Elephas maximus indicus: one gene and its partners. The protein of the gene in region 2 binds, or shares a complex with, the protein of the main gene of each other region. Links are inferred from orthologs where the notes say so. Each region holds a gene or a part of one and is shown on either strand. Other genes may lie near its edges. The genes, in order: DAB2IP, MAP3K5 and ARHGEF6.

The links.
Region 1: MAP3K5 (region 2) and DAB2IP share a complex: the UniProt entries of both Homo sapiens proteins name them as parts of the cytoplasmic complex. The link is inferred for Elephas maximus indicus from reciprocal best matches to the Homo sapiens genes MAP3K5 and DAB2IP.
Region 3: MAP3K5 (region 2) and ARHGEF6 share a complex: the UniProt entries of both Homo sapiens proteins name them as parts of the cytoplasmic complex. The link is inferred for Elephas maximus indicus from reciprocal best matches to the Homo sapiens genes MAP3K5 and ARHGEF6.

The regions. Positions count from the first base shown.
Region 1 is NC_064827.1:71,755,912-71,766,144, forward strand, and holds the start of DAB2IP (disabled homolog 2-interacting protein), read left to right. Parts: upstream 1-6,317; 5' UTR 6,318-6,995; coding exon 6,996-7,119; intron 7,120-10,233. UniProt on the Homo sapiens protein: Functions as a scaffold protein implicated in the regulation of a large spectrum of both general and specialized signaling pathways.
Region 2 is NC_064819.1:206,446,742-206,457,456, forward strand, and holds the start of MAP3K5 (mitogen-activated protein kinase kinase kinase 5), read right to left. Parts: upstream 4,811-10,715; 5' UTR 4,379-4,810; coding exon 3,931-4,378; intron 1-3,930. UniProt on the Homo sapiens protein: Serine/threonine kinase which acts as an essential component of the MAP kinase signal transduction pathway. Plays an important role in the cascades of cellular responses evoked by changes in the environment.
Region 3 is NC_064846.1:19,037,945-19,048,279, reverse strand, and holds the start of ARHGEF6 (rho guanine nucleotide exchange factor 6), read right to left. Parts: upstream 4,750-10,335; 5' UTR 4,663-4,749; intron 1,538-4,662; exon of another isoform or gene 1,537-1,537; 5' UTR 1,275-1,536; coding exon 1,110-1,274; intron 1-1,109. UniProt on the Homo sapiens protein: Acts as a RAC1 guanine nucleotide exchange factor (GEF).

The DNA of each region.
Region 1 (10,233 bases), on a different chromosome or scaffold from region 2:
TGACCACTGAGCTGGTTCATTTGTCCTTCTCAGTGGGCTCTGCAGGGATTGAGCAGGGTCCCTCCCCTGGAACCCAGGCTGGTGCCAGCCACGGAATGGTTCACAGATGACCAGGTGGGGGAAGGAGGACTCTCTGGGCTCATGCTGGGACCATATGCCAGCCCCTCTGGTCGCCCGGGGGATGTGGAGTCCTCTCAGCCCATCACTGGATGGGGAAGAAGGAGCCCAAGACGTTGAGCTTCAGCTCCAGGCCCAGGCTGGGGGAGAAGGGAGGGCTCCGAGCCGGGCTGGGGCCCAGGGCCCACCTGGAGCTTGGCAGCATTTCTGGGTCAGGGCAGGGAGAGGAAGTATGTGGAGGGAGTTGCTCCAAGCCTGGCCATCTGGGCTGAAATGCCGGCTTCGTGAGTGGGGGTAGGGAAGGATGGGATGGAGCTGGGGCCCGGAGAATGGATCCCAGCCTCTCCCTTCCCCAGTAGTCAGGTCTTGGGATTGGAGCCCTGAGTTTTGGGAACAGAAGGCTGATGTCCCAGCTAGCCTGGCGTGGTAGGCCAGGGTGCCTGTGGGTGGCCAAGCAGGCATCAGGCATTGTGGGAGGCATGGTCCAGACAACTGAAGGGAAAAAGGGGTTTTGACAGCTGTATTTAAGTTCCAAAGTGGAGCACCAACCTGAGGCCAGACCCCATATGTGATCTCTTACAAGTCTTACTCCCTCCCAGGGCCTCAGTTTCCCCATATGACTGCTATGCTGGAGTGGGAGGGGCAATGAGACCCTCAGTGATTGAGGAATTGGTGCTGGATCCTGCTAGTGATAGATTAAGCAGGGTCCTTGGGCAAGTTCTCAGGCCTCAGCTTCCCCGGTTCTCTCACTGACTCTAAAGCTTCCTTTCAGCTCTAACATTCCAGGATTTTAGGACAGGCTGTTATCACATATGAGGGAGATATGTCCTCTTCTCTGGACCTCTGGAGGACAGGAGTGACACGCAGGTGGTGGTCTTGGGGCTGGAAGATATTTCTAGGTGCTGACAGTATCCCAGGAAGATGGGCCAGGCAGAACTGTCTCATAGCTGCTTAGCATGTTTCAGAAACCTGAGGCCCAGAGATGTCAAGGGGCTTTCTTTGGGTCACATAGTATGACATCCTCCCTCCCCTCCCCAGCTGGCCTTCAACCTTAGAGCCCTGACCTCTTCATCGGGCTTGTCCCTCGGGCCCAGCTTTGGATGACTTGATTTAAAAAGCACTTGTACCCCGGAGGCCTTGGGCTCGTGGCCTCTGTGTATTCAAATGTCTACCCTTGATGGGTCCCCAGTTCTGTCTATGTTGGGAGGGACAGAGCCATCTAACCCCACATGTTCTCAGCCCTGACCAGACCACTTTCTGCAAAGGGTGGGAGTTCGGGGTCGGGGGGAGGGAGGGGAGGGTCAAGGCAAAGGATGCCTGGCAGGGCCTCCAGTGGTGAGTGAGACCCCGCAGGACTTGTCTGTGTCTCCTGCTTCACAGAGTGCGCCCTGGCTCCAACCTCCCCCAGCTCCCCGATGAAAATCCAGCTCCTGGTCCAGCCTTGTTCCCGGACGAACGGTGGACACAGGAAGCTGTCACTGCCGGCCAGACGAGCCACCTCCCAAGGCAGAGGCCATGACCTTAACCACGAGTGCCCCCTCACCTCTCCATCCTACCCACACCCCTGTGCAGGGGTCCAGCAACTGACTCAAGAATTGAGACTGGCCTGGGAGGTGATTGTGTTCAGGGCTGTCTAGCTGGGGGCTGCCCCTGGTCACCACCTCCTGCACTGTCCCGACAGGAAACCTGACAGGTCTGAGCCTTCCAGACACCCATTGTGTGGGGCCTGGTGAGGGCTCTGATGCTTCCCCTGTTGGGGGGGACTTCCGCCCCTCAATCTAGGCCTCCTCCTGTCCCTTGTCAAAGCTTGCTTTTAAAGAAAGTTCCAGGCTATTACACAGCCCCTCCCCCCACCCTCCAGTTTGTGTTTCATGAAGTCCTGGTCAACCTTATGACCTTTGCTTTTGCCATCCCTTCTGGGTTCAAATCCTGGCTCCTTCTTGAGGTAAGCCCTCTGGCCTTACTTACCCTTTCTCTTATATTTTCTGTAAAATAGGGTGGGTAACTGTCTGCCTCATAGGGTCATTGAGAAATTGAGTGCAATAAAGTGTGAAGAATGCTGAGGATAGCATTTGGCTCACAGTAAATGCTCAGTACATCTCAGCTACCATTATTATTACCAAACTTCACCCTCGAATGAACCTTTTGAGGTCAAACTTGTAGCCCTCCTCTGTTGGGGAGGTCTTGGTTTCTATGGTTCCCTCCAGCATGAGCATTGTTCTTCCCTGGATTGTCATTGTTAGCAGCCGTCGAGTTGGTTCTCCAACACGAGGCATAATGGAATGAAACGCTGCCTGGTCCTGCAGCATCTCCATGATGAGTTGCAGATTGGACCGTTGTGATCCATAGGGTTTTCATTGGTTGATTTTTGATAGTAGATGGCCAGGCCTTTCTTCCTAGTCTGAGTCTGGAAGCTTCCCTGAAACTTGTTCAGCATCATAGTAGCACAAAAGCCTCTACATGCGGTGGCTGCACATGAGGTGCCATGGTCAGGAATCAAACCTGGGTCTCCCACATTGAAGGTGAGAATTCTACCACTGAACCACCACTGCCCCATCCTCCCTGGGTAGGGTCTAGCATTTAAAGATAACCAACCCGTTGTTGTTTTCCTCCCATACAAAATGTTTTCTTCAGTGCAAACCAGGCCTTTTTGCTTTGTGCTCAGGTGAATAAATGGATAATCTGTCTTAACACTGGAAACACTGGTGGTGTAGTGGTTAAGTGCTATGGCTGCTACCCAAGAGGTCGGCAGTTCGAATCTGCCAGGCGCTCCTTGGAAACTCTATGGGGCAGTTCTACTGTGTCCTGTAGGGTCGCTATGAGTCGGAATCGACTTGATGGCAGTGGGTTTGGTTTGGTGTTTTTGGTCTTAACACTGGAGGAAAAACTGTCCTCTGTGGGCCATCTAAGGTTTTTCATGGGTAATTCTGATGATATGCTTCTTTTTCTCTTTCTGCACTGACTTTAAACCTAACACCTCCTAGTAAGATGGCTGCACTGGGCTGGCCTGGCAGCCCTCCTTCCCTGCATTTGGATGCCTCTCCTAACCTGGAGCCCTGGCCTGGCCCATGGTTTACCTGGACTGTCAGCCCAGCTCCCATGCTGCCCACTACTCTCAACCTTTAGGATACCTGGATGCTGATTGTTCTCTGCCTGGAGGGCAATTCTTTGGATCCATTCTTCCTGGGCTTCCCTGTGGCCTCTTAGTATCCCTATTATTCAAGGTATGGCAGGAGTACGGAGGAGGGTCTGTCATTGGGACTCGGGGTAGACTTAATCTTTAAGGAGGTGATATTTGAGCTGGGTCCTGAGGGATAAGGAGGAGTTTGCTAGGTGGGTGCTGAAGGAAGAGCTTCATGGCTAAGGCCAGAACTGGGAAGGAGAAGGAACGCATGCAGTGCCTCTGGAAGGTCTGAGGCAGATACATCAGGGTTGCTGGAGTGGGAAGGGGTGCGAAGGGAGGCAGCTCTTTTGTGATGGAGCTTCGTTCTTTTTGGTGCTCTGGGCATCCTCCTTTTCCGGAAAAGGATGAAAGTAGGAGTTAGTGGCAGTAGGGTTGGGTCAGGTCTGATTTAGCCAGTTCCCTGCCCGGCACTTAGGAAGCATGCAGATTTCCTGGCCCCATCCAGACCCACTGAATCAAGCATCAGGGGAGAAACCCAGAAATATGTATGCTTAAAGAGCCAGGGGTGATTGGGAGGCTCAGCGGTGTAGAAACCATGGAGGCCTTGACCTCACCCAAAGCAGCACATGAAGGTGGAAGCCAGGCCTCTTCTGGAGCCCTTCTGGAGGCAAGACAGAGGTGGGCGGGTGGGGGTGGGGCAGGACTACTGGCCAGACTGTTAACCCTGGAGGGTCTGAGGCTCACAGATCAGCAGGGCAGGGATGCTAATTCTGTCTAGGGCAGTCACAGAGGGCTTCTCCTTAAGCGGAGTGTGTCACAGGAAGCAATGAGATGGGGAGGGAGGGATATTTTCTGAGACACCTTCCTCAGTCCAGGCGGTCTCTGGAAGTGGGGGTTGCTACTCTGTTTGGAGGGAGAAAGCCACAGGGGCAGTGAGTGGGGGACTGTTGGAGGGGGTGGGTGAGTTGTGCCTCTGCAGCAGGATTGATCCCAGATGCTCTGCTGGGGCTTGCAGGGAGCAGCCTTTGTCTGCCTGTCTGCCCCCAGAGGTCCTGGGCCAGGGGGAGGGGCAGGGAGCCCAGGACTTCTCCTCACTCCTATCTTGCCTTTCTACTTTGTACCCCAACCCCAGCCCCAGTGCCTGACAGGAGGCCTGTGGAGGTGATTGGCTCTTGCTTGGGATGATTGACATTGCCTGTTCCCACTCCAAGGCCAGGCGGCTTCCTATTCATTATCTGACCTTCCTCCCTCCACAGGTAGATCGATTGGGGACACGTAATTTCTCCTCGCGGGAAAGGAAACTGAGGCACAGAGAGGGACCTGAGGAGCCCAAGCATAAGCTGGGAGACCGTGTTTATAGACTGAGGTCCAGAGTTCCTGGCTACTTCCCTCTTCCCTCCACATACCTAAGACTATGTGCTGGGAGCCCCAGGCCGAGATCACTTGCTCCTGCTACTGACCAGAGTGTGTTGGCAGTGAGCCTCCCATCTCCTCAACAGGAGGCTAAAACCTGGCTGATCAGGGGATTCCTGCTTTGGGAGGAAAACTGGGCCAGATGAACCCTGGAAGCAGGGTTGTTGTCCGCACATTGGGAGCCCTCCACTCCCCCAAACTGGTGGGTCCAGCTAGGGAGGTTATTTATTACTGGATGTGCCAAGGCATGAGTGGGTGGGTTCTGGTGGCCCTGCCAGAAGAGAATGCATGCTACCATGGGCCCACGACTGAGGGACTGAGGTGCTGAGGGACTGGGTGCGAGCTCTTCCCAGGGGCATTGCCCTTTGAAAGAGGCTCCTGGGCAATGTCTAATGTTGAAAATAACGTAGAGCAGTGCTTAATCCAAAGCGGGCTAATGGTGTCCTAGATGGCTATGTGGTCTTCCATCTTCTCCTGGGACTGGCCAGTAGTCTGGCTGTCTTTGCCCTTTTTGTTGGGATAGCTTTGGACTCCCCAGACTAGGTCTGGAGGAGCAATACCCCTGCTACCCCTCCCCCTTGGTCCTGGGAAGGCGCCTGGCTTCCAGCTGTGATCCAGGCTTCTGCTGACCTGGGGGCCCTCCCCCCTGGTTGAGGGAGGGAGGGAGGGGGCTCCCCCTGTGAGGTGCAAAACCCGGCCTGGATTCTTGCCCAGACTGCCTGCTATCTCCAGGGCCCCAACTTTTCAGCAGTTCAGAAGGTGGACCCCCAGACTGCCTCAGGCACCCACACATGACCCTCCCCGCACACACACCTAAGACGGCATATAGGGGATCCCATGCTAAGAGCACTTGCCTCTGCCACACCACTGTTTTTCTGTTGACTGGGGCAAGTCGGACTTCCCTGTCAGGGCCTCGGTTTCCCTTCTGTGCTTGAGGAAATAGAACTCAGGCAGATGATTGCCTGATGGTTTAAAGAATAAATTCCGAAGCAGGGGTAGGGGAGAGTAGGGAATAAGAGGAGAAAGAGAGAGATCCTTGAGGGCCTGGATGGTCAGGGAAGGCTAGAGGAAGTGTGCTGTAAAGGATGGACTTTGGCTAATCAAAGAAACGTACATGGGAGGCAGTTGGGGCTGGGAGTAAAGCAAAGAGAAGTGAGAAGGAGCAGGGGAACCGTGGAAGTGAGGCTGGAGGGCAGTTTGGCTGGGGCCTGAGTGTTGAAGCCCCAAAGACAAGGGAAGAATGCATGGGCTTGTTGGCACTGGGCTTTGGGCAGCCATGGAAGGTTCTTGAGCTGGGAAGTGAGTGACTTGGTGAAAGTTTTTCAGCCCGTTGCAATTGAGAGAGTTGGAACGCTCCCTTTTCCCAGCCTCAGTTTCCCCTCTCTACAGCAGGGTAAGAATTGTTCTCCCTGTCCCCCTCCCTCACTGCCCCAGGCCTGCCAGAGTAGGTGTAAATGTCCAGAGGGATGCAGACTTTGCAGTATCTGTGGTTTTTATTTATGGATGTGGGGGGGGGGGTCGGGGGGGTAGGGTGTCTAAATCAAAGGGGGCAAAATGTTCAGATTTGGCAAAGTCTGCTGGTTGCACGGGTGTTGGTTATGTACTCTCCACTTTTTGTGTGCTTGAAATATACACCACAATTTTGATTATATAAAAAATAATGTGTATCAAATGGGACAATCCTTAAAACGTAAAGAATAGGCATGTATTCTGCCTGAAAGCAGAGTGTTTCAACCCAGCTGGGGCTAGACCCGATGGGTTCGATTCTCAGCCTGGTGAACTTGGGGCAAAACTGGGTAGTCCCCTTCATTCGGACTCTAATTGACCTTGACTGTTTCCCTGGACCTCGGTTTCCGCGTAGCGTAGCTGCCTGGAGGCCTTGCATGTGTCCTGCCCTGTGTCCCGGATCGCGCACACGCGGGAGCGCACCATCTACACCCGCCGCTGGGATGGGGCGCCCCGTGCGCCCTGGGATCGGGCTTTGAGTCCTCAGGCGCTGGGAGACGGGGGAGGCCCTCCTGCTTCCCTACGTGGAGGCCTGGGGTTCCGGGGGTTCTCCGGCCCGCCTCGCCCCTTAGAGTCCAGGCCGGGATTTCCCCAGCACTGACTTTCCGGGCCGGTGCCAGTCCGGCCTCCTGGTCCCCAGCCCCCGCCGCGGGGCCGGCTGCTTTGGGGAGGAGGAGGAGTTTGAGCGACTTTGTGGGGCAGCCTTGGCCTCGGCGACGGCGGCCGCACCAACGAGCGCGGGAGAAGGCAGGGACGCCCGCCGGGCGGTCCGGAGCGGGCGATGGGGCCCGTGTGAGCGCGCCCAGCCCCGGCCCGGTGCCCGGCGGGCGGCAGCATGTCCGCGGGCGGCAGCGCCAGGAAGAGCACCGGGAGGCCCTCCTACTACTATCGGCTGCTGAGGCGGCCCCGGCTGCAGCGACAGAGGAGCCGCTCCCGCAGCCGGACCCGTCCTGCCAGGGGTAGGCGCGACCCCCACTCCTGACCCCCAGACCCTTTCCACCACCGCTTCATCACCTGATGCCCCGGGATGCCAGGGACCCAAGATCCTCCTGCTAGCCACTTACGGGGGAGCCCTTCATCCGCCTCTCCTGGTGCCCACTAGTCCGTCTGCGGGACCCCCATTACCTCCAGCTTCTCCCTCATGTGCACCCTCTTGTGTCTTTAGTGTTTTCCCTGTGCCATAGGCAAGGAGATGGGAGATTGGAAGCCAGGGTTCTCCTCCTTTGACCTCTCAGATCAGACCTCCTGCCCCACTGTGCCTCAGTTTACCCGGCAGGAGGGCATTAAGTGATCCAGGATGGACCCTGGCTTACCCTTGCCTCACCTCCACTGCCCTGGCCTCCCAGCTTCGCCAATCCTGCACTTCTTCCCTTTCCAAGGACTTAACTGACTCCCCTCTTGGGAGGGACAGGTGAGGGATCCTATCCCAGGGATCCTTGGCTTTGAAGGAGCCAGAAGCTGAGTGGGTGGGTGGGCCTTACCTCCTTTGAAGTTTCCCTTCTTCAAGCCCTGGAAGCAGGGGAGAGGGGGAGGTGCAGGCAGCATTTTCTTTTTCCAGTAACTGGATCCTCAGCTGGAAATGAGTGTGATCCAGGGGGCTGCCTTCAGGGCTGGGTGGGGGCCAGGACTTCCTTTCCTGGCTGGGTGGGAGGAAGGGAGAGAGGTCCGCTGGAGAGGCCAGAGTCCTGGGCAAAGGCTCAGGCCCTCCTGAAGGTGCCAACAGAGCCAGGGGTGGAGCTGAGGCAGCAGCACTCATAGGGACCTGGGTTGCTTTTTTACCACCTGCTTGTCAGAGGAAGCTGGGAAGGCTGGCCCTGTGCCTGCCCAGACGGGGTTTGAGCAAATGCTGTCATGGAGTCTGCAGATCAGGGTCTAACCTCTCCAAGTGCTGGTTGTATGACCTGGACCTGTAACATTGCCCTTCAGCATCACTAAATGTTAGTTTTGCTTCCCCGCAGAATGGGGAAGACTTTTCCCATAGTTGGGGCTGAGCAATGACGTACAGGGCTTCCTCAGGAAGTAGTGAATTCTCTGTATGGAGAGATTCAAGCTGAGTCTAAGGGTGTGCACAGGTGTGGACCAGAGTTCAAGCCTCGAGGTTCTCTCGAGGCCCATGGTTCCCCAGTCCTTGTCTTCCCTGAAGTGGCCTCTGGCTACCTCCCACCCCCTCAGTCTTGGCCCTGGAGACCAGAGATCTGCATTCAAGCACAAGCCAGTGTGACTTTGGACAAGTCACTTCCCCTTTCAGAGCCTCAGTTTCCTCCACTGTAATATGAGTGTGGCAGTACTGGGACGATTTGGTGAAGAAACAGGTGCATACTGTGCCAAGCAGGATTTGTACAAATGTCCAATAATGCTCAGGCCACCCTGGGGCCTCTCCTACACCCACCCCAACCTGCCCCTCTCCTCACCTTGGAAATGCCTTGTGTAACCTTTCCCTTAACTTTTCACCTCAGTCCAGTTTCCTCCCTGGCTGCCAAGGCACGGAGAGGAACAAGAGCTCTCCTCTCAACCAGTTCTGCTGGCTGGGAAGGGGACAATCCATGTGTTGGCCTTCCCCTGAGCCCCAGCTCCCAGGCCCCACAGGTATAGGAGCCCTGCTTTGTGCCCCACGCCTTGAAGGAGCTCACAGCCTGCTGGGGGTAAGGAGGAGACTGTCAATGAGCAGAAGTTACAACTGAGAAATCAGGGAGAGCTTCACAGAGGAGGTGACATTTGGATGGGATCTTACAAAATAGATAGGATTTCCTTTGGCCCAGGGAGTGGTTGAGTCAGAATTGGGTTCAATTCCAGCTCTGCACATAACTATCTTTAGGCCGGTTACCTCACCAAGCCTCAGTGATCTCTGCTGGTAAATGGTAAATGGGATAAAGACGGCAGAGTTCTAAGAATGGGAGTAGGAATGCATGGAAAGCTGGAAGCCTGTGTTCGGGGCTTGGGCCACAGGCGTGTGACCTATTGTCATTTCTCTGGGCAGAAGGAACAGCTCCTGCAAAGACAGGAAGATGGAAAATGCCTTGGGCATTGTGGACAGAGCTCTTCCTGGGGGAGGGGTAGAGGGTGGGCTGGGGAGGGGGAAGAGCAGGGAACAGAGCTTGGGGCCTGACTGAGTGAGGGGAGTCCTGGGGGGTGGTGAGAGCTGCTTGGGAGGGGCACTTAGGCAGGGCATGAGTTGGAGGCTAGAGGCCCCCTGTCCTCCTGGGTGAGAGGCTGCTGGAGCAGGCACTGACCTCCCTCCACTACACCTCCAGAGTCCTGACTCCACCTCAGGGCTGCCTTCTCACTACTCCTCCTGAGGGCAGTGCTCTCACCCAGGTGGTAACTCCTGCTGGGGAGGCCAGCGCCTGGCTTTAAGCCAGTCCCTTCCCACCTCAGGCCTCAGTCTCCCCATCTGTGTGGCGGGTTGGCTCTGTGGGTATGACCTTAGACCACGGAGGAGGGAGTGGTACCTAGCACCCTGCCCAGGTCAGGCCCTTGCTCCACACCTGTTCTGGTCTCTGTACTAGCCAGGAGGGAAAAATGACTGAGACTCTGGGGAGGGGAATTTTCAGAAACAGGAAAATGCAGGGAAGAGTAGGCAGGTGGCGGGACCTGCGGCTGGCCAGGCTGGGTACAGGGTTGTGGCCTGGATGCTGCCTCTGAGCAGGCTACCTACCATACCTGCCCACCACTGGACTGTCACTGTCGAGTGGTGGGGAGGGTGCTCACTGGAGATTTGAGAGCAGGACCTTGCCCCAGGCAGGGCTGCCAGTGAGGGACAGCATCTGCAGCTGCACAGGTTTGACCAGCTTGGGGCACTAAACAAGGCACTTCCTCTCTCTGGGCCTGGGTTTTCCCATCTGGAGAATGGGCAGAGTGAGACCTGCTGCTGGGGGCACGAAGCTTGATGATGGCCAGAGACAGGGTGTTAACAGTGACCTTTGGATGGCAAAGGTCATCTGGCTGTGCCATATGGTGCCTTGTGACCTTGGAGTGTGCCCGAAGGTTGCACATGGTCCTGGATTTGAGAGGTGTCCTATCCCCAGAGGGTGTTACCAACCAGGGTGCCTTCTTACCTTTCCCCATCGTAATCA
Region 2 (10,715 bases):
TTTAAAAACACAAAGATAAGAGGTGCCTTGGTGGTGCAGTGGTTAAGTACTCAGCTGCTAAATGAAAGGTCAGTGGTTCAAACCCACCAGCTGCTCCATGTAAAGATTACAGCCTTGGAAACCCTATGGGGGCATTTCTACGCTGTCCTTAGGGTCACTGGGTCGGAACTGACTTAACAGCAATGGGTTTGTTTGTTTGTTTTTGGTTTATACAAAGATAGGGTAATCCATAAACCCACTGCCATTGAGTGGATTACAACTCATAGACCCTATAGGACAGAGTAGAGCTCCCCCATAGGATTTCCAAGGAGCGGCTGGTGGATTTGAACTGCTGACCTTTTGATCAGCACCCAAGCTCTTAACCACTGCATCACCAGGTCTCTAAAGATACGCTAAGTTTATAAAAAATGTAACCAAGCCTTAAATTCTTAATCATTACAGTAAGTTGAGCTATTTTAACACCATCGTTTTCCTTCTAAATGTGAAGCCCTGGTCAAGTCATCCTTGCTTGCCTTTCTAGTACAGTTCAGGTGTCACCTTCTTTGGGAAGCCACCCTCAAACTCCACCATATCCTCAATCTTACTCTAAATGGACCAGGAGTCCAACCCACTCTGTATGGACCCTCACAATGACACTACTATATTCTGCACTGAATCTACCCTCCCCACTGACTGTGAGCTCTTCCAGGGCAGGAAACATGACATATACAAGCAGTTCACCAGTATCTATGGAGTGAAATGATTCATTTATATTAACAACGTTGTGATTTTAAAGTACAGTATTTGAGAACTAGATGGAACCTCAGATACCAATTAACCCAAACCTCCACTATTTTCTAAGATTTTAAATGACTTGCTCCAAATTAGAGAAGGACCAGGGCCAAAATTCAGACCTTGAAACTCCTACTCCGACACTCTGTCCCAGCACACCATGCTGCCTTTACTTTGTAAATTCACGGGAATATACAAGGGAATCTTATAAATCAGTTCAATTCCCCATCTACCTTCACCCTGGTCGATTTTATAGGCAAAGAACCTCCATTTGTAGACGATGAAGGGCCTTGTTCAAAACTGGGTGGCTGATGACAGAACCAGGACTTACTTGAAGAGATGTGATTTCCCACTATATCATAATGATTTGTCTTTCAAGTGGGAGGTAGTAGTTGCAGAGAAAAGGTCAACATGGCCCACGGGCCAAATCCAGTAGGCCACCTAATTTTCCATGGCCTGCAAACTAAGCATGGCTTTTACATTTTTAAATGGTTGGGGGAAAAAATCAAAAGAAGAGTCATATTTTGTCACACACGAGAATTATATGAAATTTATATTTCAATGTCCGTAAGTAAAATTTTATTGGCACATAGCCATGATCATTTGTTTGCGTACTACTCATGGCTACTCTTACTTTGGAAGAGTTGAGTAGTTGGGAGGGACACCTTATGGAGAGCAAAATCTAAAATATTTACTGTCTGGTTTTTGACAGATAAAGTTTGCACACCCCTGGTAGAGACGAACAAGGCTTCTCTTAGAAGACAGAAGGCAAGTTTTACTGCTATCAAACTCTCCAGCCCTCGGTTTAGAAAAACAAAGGGTTTGGATGAAACTGCTAACGTTATACTGTCACATCTTCATGCTGAGCAGAAGGGTACAGAGTTTATATCACCCAGGTAGGCAGGGGTTGAAATGGGGCCTGCCCAGGTTAAACAAAGCAGTGGGACAGAGGAGACCTGGGAACATGGGTCTCCCCCAGAGAGTGCCCTCCCCCTTATTCCACATTGCACCTCAGTGGCTCTAAAGGTCCTGCCAGCTCTCCGTCACACGATTCCATGTGGGTAAACCAAAAAAACCAAACCCGCTGCCATCAAGTCAATTTTGTAGTTTCCCTTAATTCTAAGTTGAGCCCATCTGATGGAGGGAACATGACCCACCCGTGATCTTTCAGGGTCTTCCACCTGCAATGGAACCTGCTCTGACCACGTACTACCTACGTGACCTAAACCCCATGGGCACAGGGTCGGCTCTGACTCACAGCAGCCCTACGGAACAGAGTAGAACTGCCCTATAGGGTTTTCAAGGCTGTAATCTTTACAGAAACAGATTGCTACATCTTTCTGCCGCAGCTGATGGGTTCAAAATGCTGACCCTTTGGTTAGTGGCCGAGTGCTTAATCACTGCACCACCAGGGCTCTTATGTGACCTAGGGCTGCTTATGTATCCCTCAGTTTTCCCACCTAAGAAGCATAACAAGTACTTCCTTCACAGGCTTATTTGGAGGATTAAATAAAATACAGTTCAAATATCAGGTCCCTCCTAATCTTCCTCTCTCCCTTTCCCAGGGGCAGTATTTGGAGAATAAACACTAAGTGAGCCTTGTTAGGAAACTTTCTTTCAAATCACCATTGGGTTTAAGATTTATTGTAAGGGCCTTAAAAAAAAAAAAAAAGCTATCAGTGCAATAAAAATAGGCTCAAGTACATAGCTGGGAGCTTTTCTCCCACATCTTTCAGTTCTTTGACGCTTTCTTCATATCTTCCAAGTTATAATCCAAAAATAAGAGTGCTATAATTTTTAGAAAAGTTATGTTTATGTAACTTTTATAGCAAGCCACCCAAAAATACAAGCTATAATATATTACACTCATGTTCAGTTGGGAAGACCAAGACCGTAAAAAGACCAGATCCAGAAAGTCCTCGTTTATTTAGTCTGGCTTCCTTACGTAAAGTTCTTCTTGTTCTTAAAATATTCAGCATTGGCTGAATTCCATAGTTGGCATAAGCCTTCTTCAGGTGTTTTGAAGAGACTGAATAGAATCAGAACTGAAAATAAGATTGGAAAATAAAAACATTCATGCAAGCAAAAATGCAAGAAACTTGCTCTTTCAAAACCAGAATTAAATCATGTTTTCCACCTACAATTATAAAAATATTTATATATTCTCAACAGTGATTGTAAAGGGTGCTAAAGATTAATTTCAATAACATGTTATTATGCCTAACATTTCCTAACCAAAAAAAACCTCCAAACTCTTTGTAGCTAACAGATAATTGATTGCTTCAGTCACCAGAATTGCATAACATTTTCTGAAATCTGGAACAGGTTGAAGAAATACATTTTTTTCATGGATTATGCTAGCAATCACTTTAATGGACAATCTAATCTTAGTTATCAAGATAGCCTATCAGCATTCTCAACAATGTTAAATTATAAACCTTCCAGCGTAAAAAAACGTATATGGGGCAATAAAAAACAGACCCTGGTTCTTCCACCGATAATCCTAACAAAGATATCACACCAGTTTAGTTTAAGTTACAAGGTTATCACTTTTGGAAGTAATTACTTGACAGTTCAATTTGGTAAGGGATGGGAAATTCAAAGGACTAAAACTCGTTGAAGGTAAAATGAGTTGGGAAGGTCATGACATGACAGGCAAATCTGTATAAATACACTCTGCATGCAGCCGGCCGCGTGGCATAACTCATCATTTCTGTACTCCCAAAAGTACAGAGAGAAAACGAGTAGGCGTCATCTAAAGAGGTCATAGGTATACGTAGAAGGAAAACATGGGTCCAATCAAACAAGTGAAACCGAGACCCTGAATGGAGAAAAGCTGACTGGGGCAATTTTCCAATACTTTTGAAGAACTGAAGTTCTCCTGGACGACGCGGACCGCAGAGCTCAGCGCCCGGCGCTGGCTGGGTCAGTCAGTCTCTCGCACAAACGCACACAGTCTCTTGCACAATCACATATACTCTCTTCCAGCAGCTGCGAGCGCCAAGAGGAGGGTCACGCGGCGCCCCTCGTCACCCCCAAGGTGAGGCAAGAAGTGAATGAGTACCAAGCGCGCCTCCTGCCTAGGGGGGAAAATCCAAAGGGCGACAAGGGAACACGTGGCCACGGGCCGCAAAGAATGGGAAGGGGTTACACACGCACCTGCATTGTAAAAGCGGTCCAGCACCGTGGTCTCCCCAAAGTCCAGTTTACCAAAATGCAGGGTCTCCAGCGCGGCGCCCACAGCCTCGCACGCCTCCCGCAGGCTCTGCAGGGCTTCACTCTCGGCCACCACCAGCTGCCCCTGGCTCGCTTCATTGATCACATACGCCACGGTGGTCCGTCGGCCGCCCCCGCTGCCAGAGTTGCCCCGGCTCCGAGTGGCACTGCCCCCGGAGCTGGCAGCGGGACAGCCGGTACCAGGGCCGGCGGCGCTCTCAACGTTCCAGAAACTACCGGGTGGCGGCGGTGGCTGCTGGTTCTCCTCACCCTCCACAGTCGCCGCCGCTCCTCCCCTCCGGCAGCTGCCGCCCTCGGCGAAGGTGCAGAAGCCCAAAGGGCCGAAAGAGGGGACGGAGAAAGTGATGCCCTCGCCCGCCTCCGTGCTCATCGCTCCCGGCGAGGCGGCGGCGGCGTCCCCCGCCCCGCCACCCCGTCTGGCCAGCCACAGCTCGGGGCTGCTCCGCGCCCGCCCGGCTAAGCAGCTGCCATCGCGAGCCGCGCCTTCCCCGCCGCGCCGCCGCTTCCTCTCGGGCGCCCTCTCCCCCGGGGGCACGCCGCTGCCCGGCGGCGGCTCGCTCCTCCTCGGCGCCTCCGTGGCCGCGTTGTTCGCCGGCTGCAAGGTTGAGAGTGCAAGGGGTGGGGACGCTGAGCAGGGCGCGAAGGGACAACGCTTCCTCTTCTTGGCTCGCCGACCTGAGCCGCCGTGCGGCTCTCGGGCGCCGCGCTCGGGCTCAGTGCGCCCAGACGCCTGCAGCGCGGCCCCACTCTTTCCGTCCCAAGCGCGGGGAGGAGCGAGGGCGGGGGCCCTCGGGGAGCACAGCTACCTGGCTAGCGCCTTACGGGCAGGCAGGCCCCCGGGGCTGCGTCCGGGAACCACGGCAGCTGCAGCCGGAAGAATCCGCCTCTCTCCTCGGTGGTAGCTCCTCTTCATCGGCCCTAATTCCTCCTCCTCCCCACGTCCTCGTTTCTCTTCGGATCGCTGCGGCCGCTGTATCCAGCACAGCCTCGCCACTGGAATCGCTTCTTTCCTTGCAGCCGCACGCCTTCTCGGCCACCCACTTCCTTCTTGCCGCCCACTAGTCGCGGTACGGAGAGGCAAGGCGGCCCGGGGGAAGGGCGCTGCTGGGAGATTCCAGCCGGGACGGAACCGACCGTGCCGCGCTCCCGGACCTCAGCCCTTTCCCGGCGCGACGCGCAGCCAAGCTTTTCTGCCGTCACCAACTGGGCCTCTACCTGAGAAGAGCTGGAGTAGACAAAACCCGGAGCCCAAGCAACTGCAGGATGGAGCAAAAAAGTCTCTCTGGCGAATTCTTGGGTCTTCCGAGCCAGTCCGGGAGGTAATGGCAGCGTTCCCCGCAGCCACCGCGCCCCCTGCCGGCCCCTGCCGGGCGCGCTCCTCAGCGTTTACCAGGGCCGCGTGCCGCGTGGTCAGGGCAAGGGCCCAATGGCCCCGGGATCCCCGCGTTGCATAAGGCCTGAAGATCTCAACTAACGCCCTGGAACCAAGAGCCTAAACTGGAGGGTGGTTTATTTGTGACAGTGGCGCTCTAGGAGTGGCAAACTAAAAGTATCAGGATCTGTCCCTGGTACTCTTCATTTTAAAAGTTCCAAAGCTTGTGCTTGTTATTATCAGTTGGTTAGCTCCAACTGCTGAACAATTTAGCGTTCTCATTTTAAAAACCCATGCTTTGGCATCCAGTCAGTTCTGACCAATAGTGACCCTATATGGCAGGGTACAACTGCCCCATAGGGTTTCCAAGGAGCAGCTCGTAGATTCTGAGAGATTGTATTTCTCAATGAAAACATGTAATTTGGCATTCTGTTTGGGGGGAAAAAAGGAATCCAAGGAAACAGAGAGGCAATGTATCCCTTAGGCCCTACTACAAATAGGCATTTCTAGAAGCTTTTGACAAGGATTCAATCACACTCGATAAATGATAGAATTATAATATCAGCAGAACTGGAATTTTCTGGCCATAATTATGTTCTCACTCAGAGTCCATCCCACTTATATTTGGAGATGAACTTTGGGACACCTTTGAGAACACCTACGGGTAGAGCAACACATTTTCATCATATAAGACTGAAGAAATATGAAAGAGATTTCTGCTACTGATTATGACAGATTAGATCATTCTGATCAACCCTCTGACTAAAGAACAGTAAGAAAGCTGAAAAAAATTGTAAATACATGCATAAAGGCACCAAAGAGATAATGGTATTAATGAGGAAATACCTGGCCAGATTCTGGAAAAGAGGACAGCGTTGCCTGATTAGGGTCCGTGCCCTGGAGCAGTCAAGACAATGAAAGTCAAAAAGAGTGAGAAAGTTTATTCAAGAGATGTATACATCGTGGGGGCCCAGCAGCAACACAGGTTGTCTCTATGGAGTCCCAAAGAGTAATTTTACATTAGAGCTTAATATAGAACTTTACAAGGGTTAGAAGTGTCTTTGTAGCCCGAAGATGGCCTGGCTGGAGGAGTTATTCATTACAAGATAGTGACAAGAGACTATCAGACTCAAGAGATACATGCCAGACATCTCTTTATCAGGCTAAAGATAAACACGTCAGACACCTGGGCTCTGATTTTCCTGTAGGGAATTGTAAATCACAGGTGGACAGAACAAAACAAACTTATCTGCATCAGATTAAAACAAAGAACAAAGTCGTTAGCATTAGGTCAAAACAAAGTCATTAGCAAAGGTATGCGAAGGAGGAGACAGGCAGAGGAAGAAGAAAAACCTAGAGGTTCTTAAGGCTTTAGATCTGTCAAGCTCTCAGTCGGCCATTTTGAAAAGGAGAAAACATGCTGGGGAGTATTAGGGTCACAACAGGAATCCAGAGAGTGAGCCTTCCTTCGAGGCTGCTTTTGGCTTGGGTATTTTTGTGGATCTGGATTAGGCTGCTGAGAGGCTAAAGTGCATTTTTTACAACATCTAGAAGAACAGTTTTTGTTTTTGTTTTGGTATAATGACTCCGTATTCCTTCCATCCTCTTGGCATGCTTCATGCGTCATTTAATATTTCCCCCATAGACTCCTTCACTATTGCAACTCGAGGCTTGAATTTTTTCTTCAATTCTTTCAGCTTGAGAAACGCCGAGCATGTTCTTCCCTTTTGGTTTTCCATCTCCAGCTCTTTGCACATGTCATTATACTACTTTACTTTGTCTTCTCAAGCCACCCTTTGAAATCTTCTGTTCAGTTCTTTTACTTCATCAATTCTTCCTTTTGCTTTAGCTGCTCGACGCTCAAGAGCAAGTTTCAAAGTCTCCTCTGACATCCATCTTGGTCTTTTCTGTCTTTCCTGTGTTTTCAATGACCTCTTGCTTTCTTCATGTATGATGTCCTTGATGTCATTCCACAACTCGTCTGGTCTTTGGTCACTAGTGTTCAATGCATCAAATCTATTGTTCAGATGGTCTCTAAATTCAAGTGAGATATACTCAAGGTCATATTTTGGCTCTCGTGAACTTGCTCTGATTTTCTTCAGCCTCAGCTTGAACTTGCATATGAGCAATTGGTGTTCTGTTCCACAGTTGGCCCCTGGCCTTGTTCTGACTGATGATATTGAGCTTTTCCATTGTCTCTTTCCACAGATGTAGTCAATTTGATTTCTGTGTGTTTCATCTGGCGAGGTCCATGTGTATAGTCGCCGTTTATGTTGGTGAAAGAAGGTATTTGCAATGAAGAAGTCGTTGGTCTTGCAAAATTCTATCATTCGATCTCCAGCATTGTTTCTATCACCAAGGCCATGTTTTCTAACTACTGACCCTTCGTTTCCAACTTTCTCATTCCAACCACCAGTAATTATCAATGCATCTTGATTGCATGTTTGATCAATTTCAGACTGCAGAAGCTGATAAAAATCTTCTATTTCTTCATCTTTGGGCCCAGTGGTTGGTGTGTAAATTTGAATAATAGTCGTATTAACTGATCTTCCTTGTAGGTGTACGGATATTATCCTATCACTGACAGTGTTATACTTCAGGATAGATCTTGAAATGTTCTTTTTAATAATGAATGCAACACCATTCCTCTTCAAGTTGTCATTCCCAGCATAGTAGACTATGTGATTGTCTGATTCAAAATGGCCAATACCAGTCCATTTCAGCTCACTAATGCCTAGGTTATCAATCTTTATGCGTTCCGTTTAATTTTTGATGATTTCCACTTTTCCTAGATTCATACTTCATACATTCCAGGTTCTGATTGTTAATGGATGTTTGCAGCTGTTTCTTCTCATTTTGAGTCGTGCCACATCAGCAAATAAAGGTCCTGAAAGCTTGACTCCATCCACGTCATTAAGGTCGACTCTACTTTGAGGAGGCAGCTATTCCCCAGTCATCTTTTGAGTGCCTTCCAACCTGGGGAGGCTCATTTTCCAGCACTATATCAGACAATGTTCCACTGCTATTCATAAGGTTTTCACTGGCTAATGCTTTTCAGAAGTAGACTGCCAGGTCCTTCTTTCTAGTCTGTCTTAGTCATTATACCAAAAAGAATTAGTCAGTGTTCAACCATTTCAAGAGGTAGCATATGATCAGGAACTGATTGTACTGAAGGAAGAAGTCTAAGCTGCTCTGAAGGCATTGGTGAAAAACAAGGCTCCAGGAATTGATGGAATATCAATTGAGATGTTTCAACAAACAGATGCAGCGCTGGAGGTGCTCACTCATCTATGCCAAGAAATATGGACGATAGCTTCCTGGCCAACTGACTGGAAGAGAGCCATATTTATGCCTATTCCCAAGAAAGGTGATCCAACCAAATGTGGAAATTATAGAACGATATTATTAATGTCACACACAAGCAAAATTTTGCTGAAGATCATTCAAAAATGGCTGCAGCAGTATATTGACAGAGAACTGCCAGAAGTTCAGGCCGGTTTCAGAAGAGGACGTGGACCCAGGAAGATCATTGCTGATGTCAGATGGATCCTGGCTGAAAGTAGAGAATACCAGTAGGATGTTTACCTGTGTTTTATTAACTATGCAAAGGCATTCAACTGTATGGATCATAACAAATTATGGATAACATTGTGAAGAGTGTCAATTCCAGAACACTGAATTGTGCTCATGAGGAACCTTTACATAGATCAAGAGGCAGTTGTTCGGACAGAACAAGGGGATACCGATTGGTTTAAAGTCAGGAAAGATGTGCATCAGGGTTGTATCCTTTCACCATACCTATTCAATGTGTATGCTGAGCAAATAATCCAAGAATCTGGACTATATGAAGAAGAACGGGACATCAGGATTGGGGGAAGACTCATGAACAACCTGTGTTATGCCGATGACACAACCTTGCTTGCTGAAAGTGAAAAGGACTTGAAGTACTAATAAAGATCAAAGACCACAGCCTTCAGTATGGAATACACCTCAACATAAAGAAAACAAAAATCCTCACAACTGGACCAATGAACGACATCATGATAAACACAGAAAAGATTGAAGTTCTCAAGGATTTCATTTTACTTGGATCCACAATCAACACCGAGGGAAGCAGCAGTCAAGAAATCAAAAGATGCATTGCATTGGGTAAATCTGCTGCAAAGGACCTCTTTAAAGTGTTGAAGAGCAAAGATGTCACCTTGAAGACTAAGGTGCACCTGACCCAAGCCATGGTATTTTCAATCGCATCATATGCATGTGAAAGCTGGACAAGGAATAAGGAAGGCCAAAGAAGAATTGACCTCTTTGAATTGTGGTGTTGGCAAAGAATATTGAATATACCATGGACTGCCCAAAGAACAAACAAATCTGTCTTAGAAGAAGTACAATCAGAATGCTCCTTAGAAGCAAGGATGGTGAGACTGCATCTTACATACTTTGGACGTGTTGTCAGGAGGGATCAGTTTCTGGAGAAGGACATCATGCTAGGCAAAGTACAGGGTCAGCGGAAAAGAGGAAGACCCTCAACGAGGTGGATTGACACGGTGGCTGCAACAGTGGCTGAGCTCAAACATAACAACGATTATAACGATGGCGCAGGACCGGGCAGTGTTTTGTTCTGTTGTACATAGGGTCGCTAACGACGGCACCTAACAACAACAACAAGAACCAACATAAGAGTGTTAAACCTAGGAAAGGGGTGAACAAGAAGTCAAATTACATGGACAGCAACCATGCTTCCAGGCATCTGAGGAGAAAAAAAAAAAAAACCTCAAACCTTGAAATTGGATCAAGATAATCCCATGAATTCAGCAAACAAAATTCATTAGAGGAAGGTAAAATCACCCTGGGCCACAAATTACTTCTACAAATGTAAGAGCTGTGCATATAATGAAACATTTGAATGCATATTAGTATGGTGGGATAGGAGCCAGACGATGAATTCAAGTCCTGACTTTGCTACCTCTGCCTGGGCTTTCATCTCCAGATCTACTCTCTACTCACAGCCATTGTACTTTCTGCCTCAAGAGGTAATCGGCATGGATTAAGTCAGTGGGCTCCTTTATCTTCTGTCTACCAGTTGGGTTTGGTAATTAGGGGGCCCAGGCAAGAGATTTAAGTTTGGGGACAGGGCATTTCTTTCTCCCTTGATGGGTTTCCAACAGGTCATTTTTCTTCTCAAGGTGGTAGACCCTACAGTCCCTCACCTTGTCTTTTGGGACCTAGAAATGGTGACAGCTCTTCAGCTGCTAGCCCCCAGTTGCTGCACCATCCCTTGAAGCTCCTCTATGCTCTTCCCACACCTTTGTAATTAGTCTTTTTGTAAATAAAC
Region 3 (10,335 bases), on a different chromosome or scaffold from region 2:
CTGTGAAACCAGGAAGAGAAATACCCACTGAAGGAAGTGATGAAAAACCTAAACGGTCGGTCTTTGTTTCAAATGTCCCCAAATCTTTAGTTCCCGGCTGTCTCTCCTGACAAACTTCTTCTCATGTCTTCTGCCAAAGGGTAGTGAGGCCAAATCAGAGAGATCAAGGCAGCTTTTTGAACTTGGTTAATGTTTTCAATTGAGGAAGAAATACCTAATACTTCCCTGCCCCCTCCTCCTGAAAATCATTAAAATTACATTCTCCTCTTTGCTGTTCTCTACGCTTTATCACATTTCTCTCCATTTTATCACCATGTCTCAAGTTTAAGAGATAATAAGCAAATCGATTTGTTCAATACAAATCCAAACTGGCTCAAGAAGGCAAAAGAGGTATGCTGACAGTCACAGCCCCTGCCGACTTTAAGAAAATAATTGTAGGACCCTATCTTTAAACTTACCTAAAGTGCTCACTTTAGAAATTACACATTTTCACAATTATGAATTTCCAACATTAAAAATCTAGGATTTTATTTTTTTAAGAGAGTCAGGTTAGTTTCGCTTTGAGGCCACGTTGCATTTGAAATATATATTTGGTTTCTATCATTTTTACAAACCTTCTCTGATATTTTGAACTGTTTCTCCTAGTTGCAAAATAGTCTGTCCTTCAGTGGATATTTTATCTTATTGTAAAGGAAATCTATGTTAATCTTAGTCAAACTGTCAACAAACACCATCAATATTGATTATAAATCATCCCATTATTCCACAGACTCATATGTCCCCAAATTCAAAACATGTCTTCGGTACACAGGAAGGTGTAGCGTGCAGTTCTGTGACAGAGCAAGCTTGTGATATGGGTGTCTTCTTGTCCCCTGTTGCCAGCGGTGGAAAGATTTTTACTATACCAACATTTGGGGTCCAATTACTACAGGACAAGATTTTGTTTTCTGATTTTTTCTGACTACACACACAGTAAGAAAGAATATCTAACCCTTAGAAAGATATTAAAGTAAAAGATCCCACAACCTGGGCGATAGAAAATTCCAAGAGTTGCACTATTGCTGCTCTCTGGTGGTAAGCAATCCCAAAGATAGGCAAGTCTACCTTACCTTTTCCACAGAGCCAGGAACAAGTCTGTTGATAAGTTTACACAGCACTACCCCATTTTTCAGCGAGGACTTCAAGAACTCCTCCGGATCACAGATGGTCTTTTTGGGAGAATCTAAAACTCCCAGAGAGATAAGCCATGTCACGATTCTCTCTTCTGGATTCATTGCTGAGGACTGTAAGCTCCACACAGCTCTCCGGGGCAGCTGCAAGGACTAAGCCACATCCGCGATTGCATCTGCTGTTGTCTTCCTTTTTATGAGTTCTCTTCTGGTGCGTGCAAAGCAAAGGTTTAAAACAACTTTCCTTAGACCGACAGGGGAACCCACTCAAAATATGGGATTTTCAAACCACGGAGATCACACTCAAAGATGAGGAAAGAGAATGAATGTGGCAATCCTGGACAGCACTGGTTTCCTTTTTCAAAACCTACAAAACACATTGGCTAGGATTAAAAAAAGAAGAACACACGGTCACACCCCCAAAGAGGGGGAAAAAAAAAAAAAAACCAGTGCATGAAGCTGTAAGGGAAGGAAGTGAGGAAGATGCTGGGGAGGGAGCAGAGAGTAGGAAACAAGTGCTCTTGGAAAACAGAGGTGAGCCAGCCCTTCAGGGGACCTTGGAAAGGAGACACCCATGGGCCAGTCTGGGAAAATGCTGTCAATAAATAGTCTAGTCCCAGTGAAAATCTGGCTTCTGTCAGGAGGAGAATGCCAACTGGCTCTTAGGTCAGACAGGTCTGAACCTCGTGGGGAGCTGTGCTGGCACAACAGGGCTTGAAGAAGGTAAGGCTAAGAAAATTCTTCCTCCAAGAAAAGGCTGGATGTCATCATACTATCTAACAGAGATGGTGTGTCATGATCATTTCTTGCAAAACACGTTGAATTGTACAGTGACAACGTGCCAAGTGAATGAAGATTGTGCCTGCTGTCAGCCATCTCTGTGTATAAGCAGAAGCTTAGAAGAATGGCATTTTACTTTGCAGCCAAAAAGCTATGTTTAGGGAAATGGGCTAAGGATAACATCTGACATCCTGTTTACTTGCATTCTTTAGCAATTCTTTTTCTGGACCTGGTTCCACCACGCAATCCAGCTGTAGTACCCTTAGCAAAGGCTCAGACACAGTCTCATGAGAGAGTAAAATACACTTGAAAACAGAACATCTGAGAACAAAAGAGCACTTGTTCACACTGTCTACACTACGGTCAGGGAGGCTGATGTTTTCCCAACAAGAAACACTTCGCATTAAAAATGCTCTCTGAGACTATGTTGGCATCTCCAGTCTGGAGGGGAGATGAGAGAGCAGAGGCGGTCAGAAGCTGGCCGAATGGACACGAAAATAGAGAGTGGAGGGAAGGAGTGTGCTGTCTCATTAGGGGGCGAGTAATTAGGAGTATATAGCAAGGTATATATAACGTTTTGCACGAGAGACTGACTTGATTTGTAAACTTTCACTTAAGGCACAATAAAAATTAAAAAAAAAAAACCCTATGGAACAGTTCTGCTCTGTAACACGTGAAGTTTCCATGACTTGGAATCAACTTGATGGCAACAGGTATATAAAACATTTTAACATTCTTAAAAAAAAAAAAACACCCTTCAAAACCACCAGGGGATGGCATCTAAACACACTTTAAGCTATAAAATGGCAAGTAACATCCCTTACAGTATGTCTTTAAGGTTATTTGTCATAACTATTATTAGGAAATAAAGGAAAGTTACTTGATTAAAAACAAAATTCTCTGGGGAAAAAAAAAGTTAGTCTGTAAGAAAAGATCTTCATTATCCTCAAATATTTTCAGAACCAGCTGAAATAGTCACACTATTGGGAAATTTATCATAAGATCAACCTTTAATAAAAAAAGCGGTTAATCGCTCAGGCTGCTAACCAAAAAGGTCAGCAGTTCAAATCCACCAGCCACTCCTCCGAAACTCTATGGGGCAGTTCTACTCTGTCCTGTAGGGTAGGTATGAGTCAGAATCAACTCAATGGCAATAGGTATGTGGGTAAATGCACCACTACCCCTTTACTTCATGCATGGGCAGACACTGCCAGCCAATCTAGCTCTTTCCTGCTAAGCTTCACAATCCTTCTCAACAGAGGTTCAGGCACCTACTACCAAATAATTAGCTTAAATCACTCTGCTAAATACTTTCAAGGCTGTCTCTTCTTGTTCTGTCACGACACTTACGCCACTTTATTTATGTTATTGCTTATTGATCTATCTCCCCCACCAGAACACAAGCTCCCTCGAGTAGGGATCTCATCTGTCTTGTTTACTGCTGTGTTCCCAGCACAGTGTCTGGTACACAGTAGATGTTCAAAACTGCTGACTGATGAATGTACTTGTATGGTGTCCCTGTATAGACGCTACATGACTATAATGATTGTTTGTTTTTAATGGCTTAAACCAGACATTTTTCCATGCTGATTGAGATGTTTCAACAAACGGATGCAGCACTGGAGATGCTCACTCATCTATGCCAAGAAATTTGGAGGACAGCTACCTGGCCAACAGACTGGAAGAGATCCATATTTATGCCTATTCCAAAGAAAGGTAATCCAACCGAATGTGGAAATTATCAAACAACATCATTAATATCACACGCAAGCAAAATTTTGCTGAAGATCATTCAAAAATGGCTGCAGCAGTATATCGACAGGGAACCACCAGAAATTCAAGCTGGATTTAGAAGAGGACGTGGAACCAGGGATATCATTGCTGATGTCAGATGGATCCTGGCCGAAAGCAAAGAATAAAGAAAGATGTTTACCAGTGTTTTATTGACTATGCAAAGGCATTCGACTGTGTGGATCATAACAAATTATGGATAACATTGAGAAGAATGGGAATTCCAGAGCACTTAACTGTGCTCAAGAGGAACCTTTACATAGATCAAGAGGCAGTTGTTCGGACAGAACAAGGGGATACTGATTGGTTTAAAGTCAGGAAAGGTGTGTGTCAGGGTTGAGTCCTCTCACCATACCTATTCAATCTGTGTACTGAGCAAATAATCTGAGAAGCCCTCATTGTGGACACTATATAGATTACAATAAATTAGAAAGGTAAGGCCACCTCCTCAAGGCAGAAGAAAGAGCTCTATAGTATAAAGATTGGAGATTAGAATGGTATGGTAAAATCTCAAGAAAGCAAGTAATTCTGAGGAGTCCCTGGGTTGCACAAACAGTTAAGCACCGGACTACCAGCCAAAAGTTGGCGCTTTGAATCCACCCAGAAGTATCTAGGAAGACAGGCATGGCAATCTGCTTCTGGAAGGTCACAGCCTTGAAAGCCCTATGGAGTAGTTCTCCTCCGCACACATGGGGTTGCCATGAGTCAAAATCCACACAACAGCAACTAACAGCAACAGCAATAGCAAGTATATAAGGGAAATGACTAACCATGGAGTCCAGGCTAGGTAAGGAAGCAAGTGAAGATGGAAAGGAGCTGGTGAACTGGGAGAATGGGGAGAGGGTGAAAGACTGGAGGTCACAATGTCTACTAAGAACAATTTTCAGACAGAGTGTGAGTAAAAGGAGCAAAGGTCTCTCACCTTACTTCAGATCCTTAGTACATACACCCTGGGCCACTGAATCTGCTTTCTCACCGGCTTCTTCACCTCCATTCTCTCTCCCTAACGAAGTCTCTGGAAGAGCGCAGTTAGATGTTCCAGAAACACTTCTTCAATAGTGCAGTGCGTGTTACCCCTGCTCAAATACCCTCGAAGGCTCTCCATTGCCTAAGGCAGTGGTATTCAAAAAAGAATGTTCATCAGAATTTCAAATTCTCATGGAATCTAGACTTTCTGGAGCCATTGAGGTGTGCGAACCCCCCAAACTATTTCCCTGAGATAACCTTTAAACCTCAAACCAAAAATATCCTCTGAAGTCTTCTTTAAACCAAACAAGTTTTAACTTAACTAGTAAAAAATGTCTGCCTTGAGCATTGTGCTCTTTTAAAGCACCAATTACGTGGGATCAAATTGACAACAGCAACTCAAAAGAGTTGATTAAAAAACTTGGGGGCAGTGAGTTTATCTTAATGGGGAAGGAACAATTTAGAAAACAAGGGTAAGAGGGGTTCCATAACTTGAAGAATGTAATCAATGTCACTGAACTGTACATGTAGAAATTGGTGTATGTTCTGCTGTGTATATTAACAACAAAGAATAAAATAAATTTTTAAAAAAGAGTGTTCATAATGATCACTTCTAATGAGGGAGGGAGAAGAACGGAATGAGAAGATGGAACCTGAGACAAAATCTACCACCACTACTTACTTTGGAGTCCATTCTAACTCGTGGTGACCCAATGCGTTTCAGGGTAGAACTCCACTCCATAGAGTTTTCAAAGCCGTGATCTTTCAGAAGTAGATCACCAGGCCTTTCTTACAAAGCACCTCTGGGTGGGTTTGAACCAACAACTTTTCAGTTAGTAGCCCAGTGCTTAACCATTTGCTCTACCCAGAGACTCCTTGAGCCAAAATAGATACCAGTTTACTACAAGGGGGAAAAAAAGGAGTTCTGCAGGAAATAAGCCAAATGCTAACATTTGTTAAAGTTGTATGCTGGGTACAGTGGTGTCTGTTGTACTATTTTCTTTTACATGTTTGAAATAGTCATAATTAATTATTTTTATTTTAAATCTATTAGAGCACTTGTTAAAAAGAAGATTTCTGAGCCCTATTCTCAGACGTTCTAATTCAGACGGTCTGCCATGGGAAACGGGAATCCATATTATTAAAGCACTCCACTTGACCTTCGACTCCACCTTAACTTCTGTCAACACCTGGGTTAATTCAATATCCGCAAGAAAACGATTCAATGTCATAACCATTAGTTCCTCGACCTCCTGTAGTAGTAATTGATTCGACTCCCCCTTTTTGCCTGCACTGTGAAAACGAGCCTGGGGCCCTTCAATATTTTTTACTTTTACTTTACTTTGATGTGAAGTTTTATCAGTAGACAGCGGTGGAGAGAGAGTGCAAGAAGAAGGGGCTTTACTTCCTGTTTCCTGTATGCTCATTCCACAGGCTTCTGCAGAACTCCCAGCTTTCTTAGGGCCTGCCTTTTGCAACATTGGCCTCCCCAATGCACAGTAAGCAGGAGCTTCCCCTGGCACCAGCCTTGGGTGGTTTTGTAGTAGAGTGCCTCTAGTGAGACACCTCCCCTGTTAACAGGAAGCCAGCACCCTAGAGCGCACATTTTCAGCAAGTTCCAGAGATCAGATGTCTACTAAGTTCCACCAGCTCCGCACCACAGCAACTTCTCTAAAAAGGTCTGGATCTCAGCCCTAGGAGTGTGCGTAGTGGGCAGGGATGGATCAAGGCATGTAAGGACCCTAAACACTGATAACCTGTGGTGCCCCTTCCTCTGCTTACTCACACATTCAAACAGGATACATGAGTTCGATACATATATGTATGTGTGTGTGTGTCTTAGCTAACCATGATGTAACTTCTTTTTAAATGTGACCATAATATTAGCAATTGAATGCAAAAGTGGCTTGTGCCATTTTAGTGGAATGACTGGATTATAAAATTTTTAGTGGGTGCAGGGTACTCAGATTTTTACTATATACCACATTTTCCACAAAAAGAACATTCCACATATTCTACAACAAAGAAAATGAGTCAGTGAACTTAGTGGTCTCAACAATCAAGGTAAAATTCTGTTGATCTCCCACAACAAAACAATAACTTTAACCGATTTTGCTTTAAACCTCTCATACTTCAATTTCGATGTTTGTTTCATAAGAAATGTTATAAATGAAAAGAAGTCATAAAAGAAAACTGGACTTTCTAAAAAATTAAACACATATGCTCATCAAAAGGAAATGCTGGTGACGTAGTGGCTAAGTGCTACGGCTGCTAACCCAGAGGTCGGTAGTTCGAATCCGCCAGGCACTCCTTCGAAAATCTATCGGGCAGTTCTACTCTGTCCTATAGGGTCGCTATGAGTTGGAATCAACTTGATGGCGGTGGGTTTGGTTTTTCATTTGATCATCAAAAGACTTCACCAAAAGTGTAAAAAGAGAACCTAGAGACAGAAAAAAAAAAAATTTGGCTGTGACAAATTCAACAAAGGTCTAATCTCTAAAATTTACAGGAAAATCCAACACCTCTACAACAAAAAGACAAATAACCCAATTGAAAAATGGGCAAAGGATATGAACAGACACTCCACCAAAGAAGACATTCAGGCAGCTAGCAGATACATGAGGAAATGCTCACAACCATTAGCCATTAGAGAAATGCAAATCAAAACTACAATGAGATACCGTCTCATCCTGCAATTACTGGCATGAATCAAAAAAACAGAAAATAACAAATGTCGGAGAGGCTATGGGGAGATTGGAACTCTTATGCACTGCTGGTGGGAATGCAAAACGGTACAACCATTTTGGAAAATGATATGGTGCTTCCTTAAAAAGCTAGAAATAGAAATACCACATGACCCAGCAATCCCACTCCTAGGAATATATCCTAGAGAAATAAGAGCCATCACACGACTAGACATATGCACACCCATGTTCACTACAGCATTATCCACAATAGCATAAAGATAGAAACAACCTAAGTGCCAATCAACAGATGATTGGATAAACAAACTGTAGTACATACACACGATGGAATACGATGCAACAACAAAGAACAATGATGAATCTGTGAAACATCTCACAACATGGTTGAATCTGGAGGGTATTATGCTGAGTGAAATAAGTCAATCATAAAAGGTCAAATATTGTATGAGACCACTATTATAAAAACTCATGAAAAAGTTTCCACACAGAAAGAAACCTTTGAATGGTTACAAGGTGGGGGTGGGGGACCTTAACTAGGTAGATAACTGGTAACTTTTGTGAAGGGTAAGACAGTACACGATGCTGGGGAAGTCTGTGCAATGTAACCAAGCCAAAGTCACAGAAGCTTCACAGACATATCCAAACTCCCTAAGGGACTTAGTTACTGGGCTGAGGGCTGGTGACCACAGTCTCAGGGGACATCTAGCTCAATTGGCATGACATAGTCTATAAAGAAAACATCCTACATTCTACTTTGCTCAGTAGCGTCTGGGATCCTAAAAGCCTGCGAGAGGCCATCTAAGATACATCTAGTGGTCACATCCCGGCTGGAGCAAGGAGAATGAAGAAAATCAAAGACACAAGGGAAAGATTAGACCAAAGGACTAATGGGCCACAAATACCACATACTCCACCAGACTGAGCCAAGAACAATTAGATGGTGCCTGGCTACCACCACCAACTTCGCTAATAGGGATCAAAATAGAGGGTCCCAGACAGAGCTGGAGAAAAATGTAGAACAAAATTTGAATTCACACACACACAAAAAAAAACCAGACTTACTGGTCTGACAGAAACTGGAGAAACCCCAAGAGTATGGCCCCAGACACCCTTTTAACTCAGTACTGAAGTCACTCCTGAGGCTTGCCCTTCAGCCAAAGATTAGACAGGCCTATGGGGCAAACAATAACACATGTGAGAACCGTGCTTCATAGTTCAATCATGTATACAAGACTAAATGGGCACACCAGCCCAAAAGCAAGGATGAGAGGGCAGGAAGGGACAGGAAAACTGGACGAATAGAAACAAGGAACCTGGGTGGTGAAAGTGAGAGTGTTAGATACGTCATGGGATTGGCAACCAACGTCACAAAACAATTTGTGTATTGATTTTTTAATAAGAAACTGATTTGCTCTCTAAACTTTCACCTAAAGCACAATTAAAAAAAGAAAACTTAAGGATCAGAAAACAAATATTACAACAAATTACTGTATTTTATTTTTAGATAGATTAAAAATTTTTTTTTTAATATGTTATAACCGAAAACATTTCTTTCTATTCTTTGTTCTTACAAATTCTTCAGTGATTTCATCATAATCAAGCTGCCAGACAATACCTACTTCCATACATAGTAAGGATAATGAGTCAAGTCTTTCCCGAATCATTGTTGTGTGCTCACTTTTCCTTGTGTTCTGTCTGCTCTGCGTCTATGGGTTTTTGCTTTGGATAACTGGTGCTCCTGTTTTGTTGATGCCCTAAGCACATGCTTACCTTGTATACTGGGTAATCTGTCCCTGGTAGTGGTGGTGGTGGGGGGGGGCTCCTGGTAGTGGGGGGGGGCCTCTATCTTAGCTCTAGAGGTGGTGGTTATTATGTATTATTTTTATATTATGTCTACTATTATATGTCATATCTTCTATTCTCTTATTTTTTAGGGTTCTCTTTACTTCTTATTAGCCAATCCCTCATTACTCCAATCTCCTGTTATAGTTAATAATTCTTTTATGTTAAACTTTCCCTGTTAAAATTACTGTGTGGTTTCTCCCTCCTGGTTGGACCCAGACTGATATACCTCATAATTTTCAATGAACTCTTTCTCTCCACTTCAGCCACCCACTTACAAGGTCACACCTTGGACTTGGTCAGGACACAAAATTCTCTGCCTCCTAAATCACGAATTCAATCGATTATTCCACTCTCTAACCATCATTTACCACCTTTCCAGCTTACTAGTACAACTATTCCTTGACCTCATATGGACTGCTAAAACCATTACCAAAATTATACAAATTTACACTCTCACAAGCAGGGTGTGAAATTTACATTTCTATGATTATTAATAAGGTTGAACACCTGTTCATTTGTTTATTGGCCATATATATTTCCTCTTCTGTGAAATACTTGTTCATAATTAGTGCCCATTTTTCTACTGAACTCTTTGTCTTTTGTTGTTGATTTATAAAAGTTTGGTATACATTATGGACACTAAACCTTTCTTAGTTATATGTGTTTGTAAATATCTTCCACCTTTGTTTTTTCATCCTTCAGTGTGTTTTAATGAAGAAAAGTTGTTGTTTTTTTAATTAAATAATTTATCTTATTCTTATGTAAAATAAATCCAAAAATTGGCTGCGCGAGGCTAGCATGGTAGCTTCATGGTCATCAGATACCCAGCATTCTACTCTCCTGCTACTTTGTGGTTTTTAGCATGACATCTCAGTTCAAAATGACTGCTTACATCACCTGGAATAAGGCAATGGTTTCTCAGACATAACACCAAAAGCACAAACAACAAAAGAAAAAAAAAAAAAACAAATTGGTCTTCATTAAAATTAAAAAACTCTTGCATTTCAAGGGACACCTTCAAGAAAATGAGAAAACCCACAGAACAGGATAAAATATTTTCAAATGATATACCTAGAAGG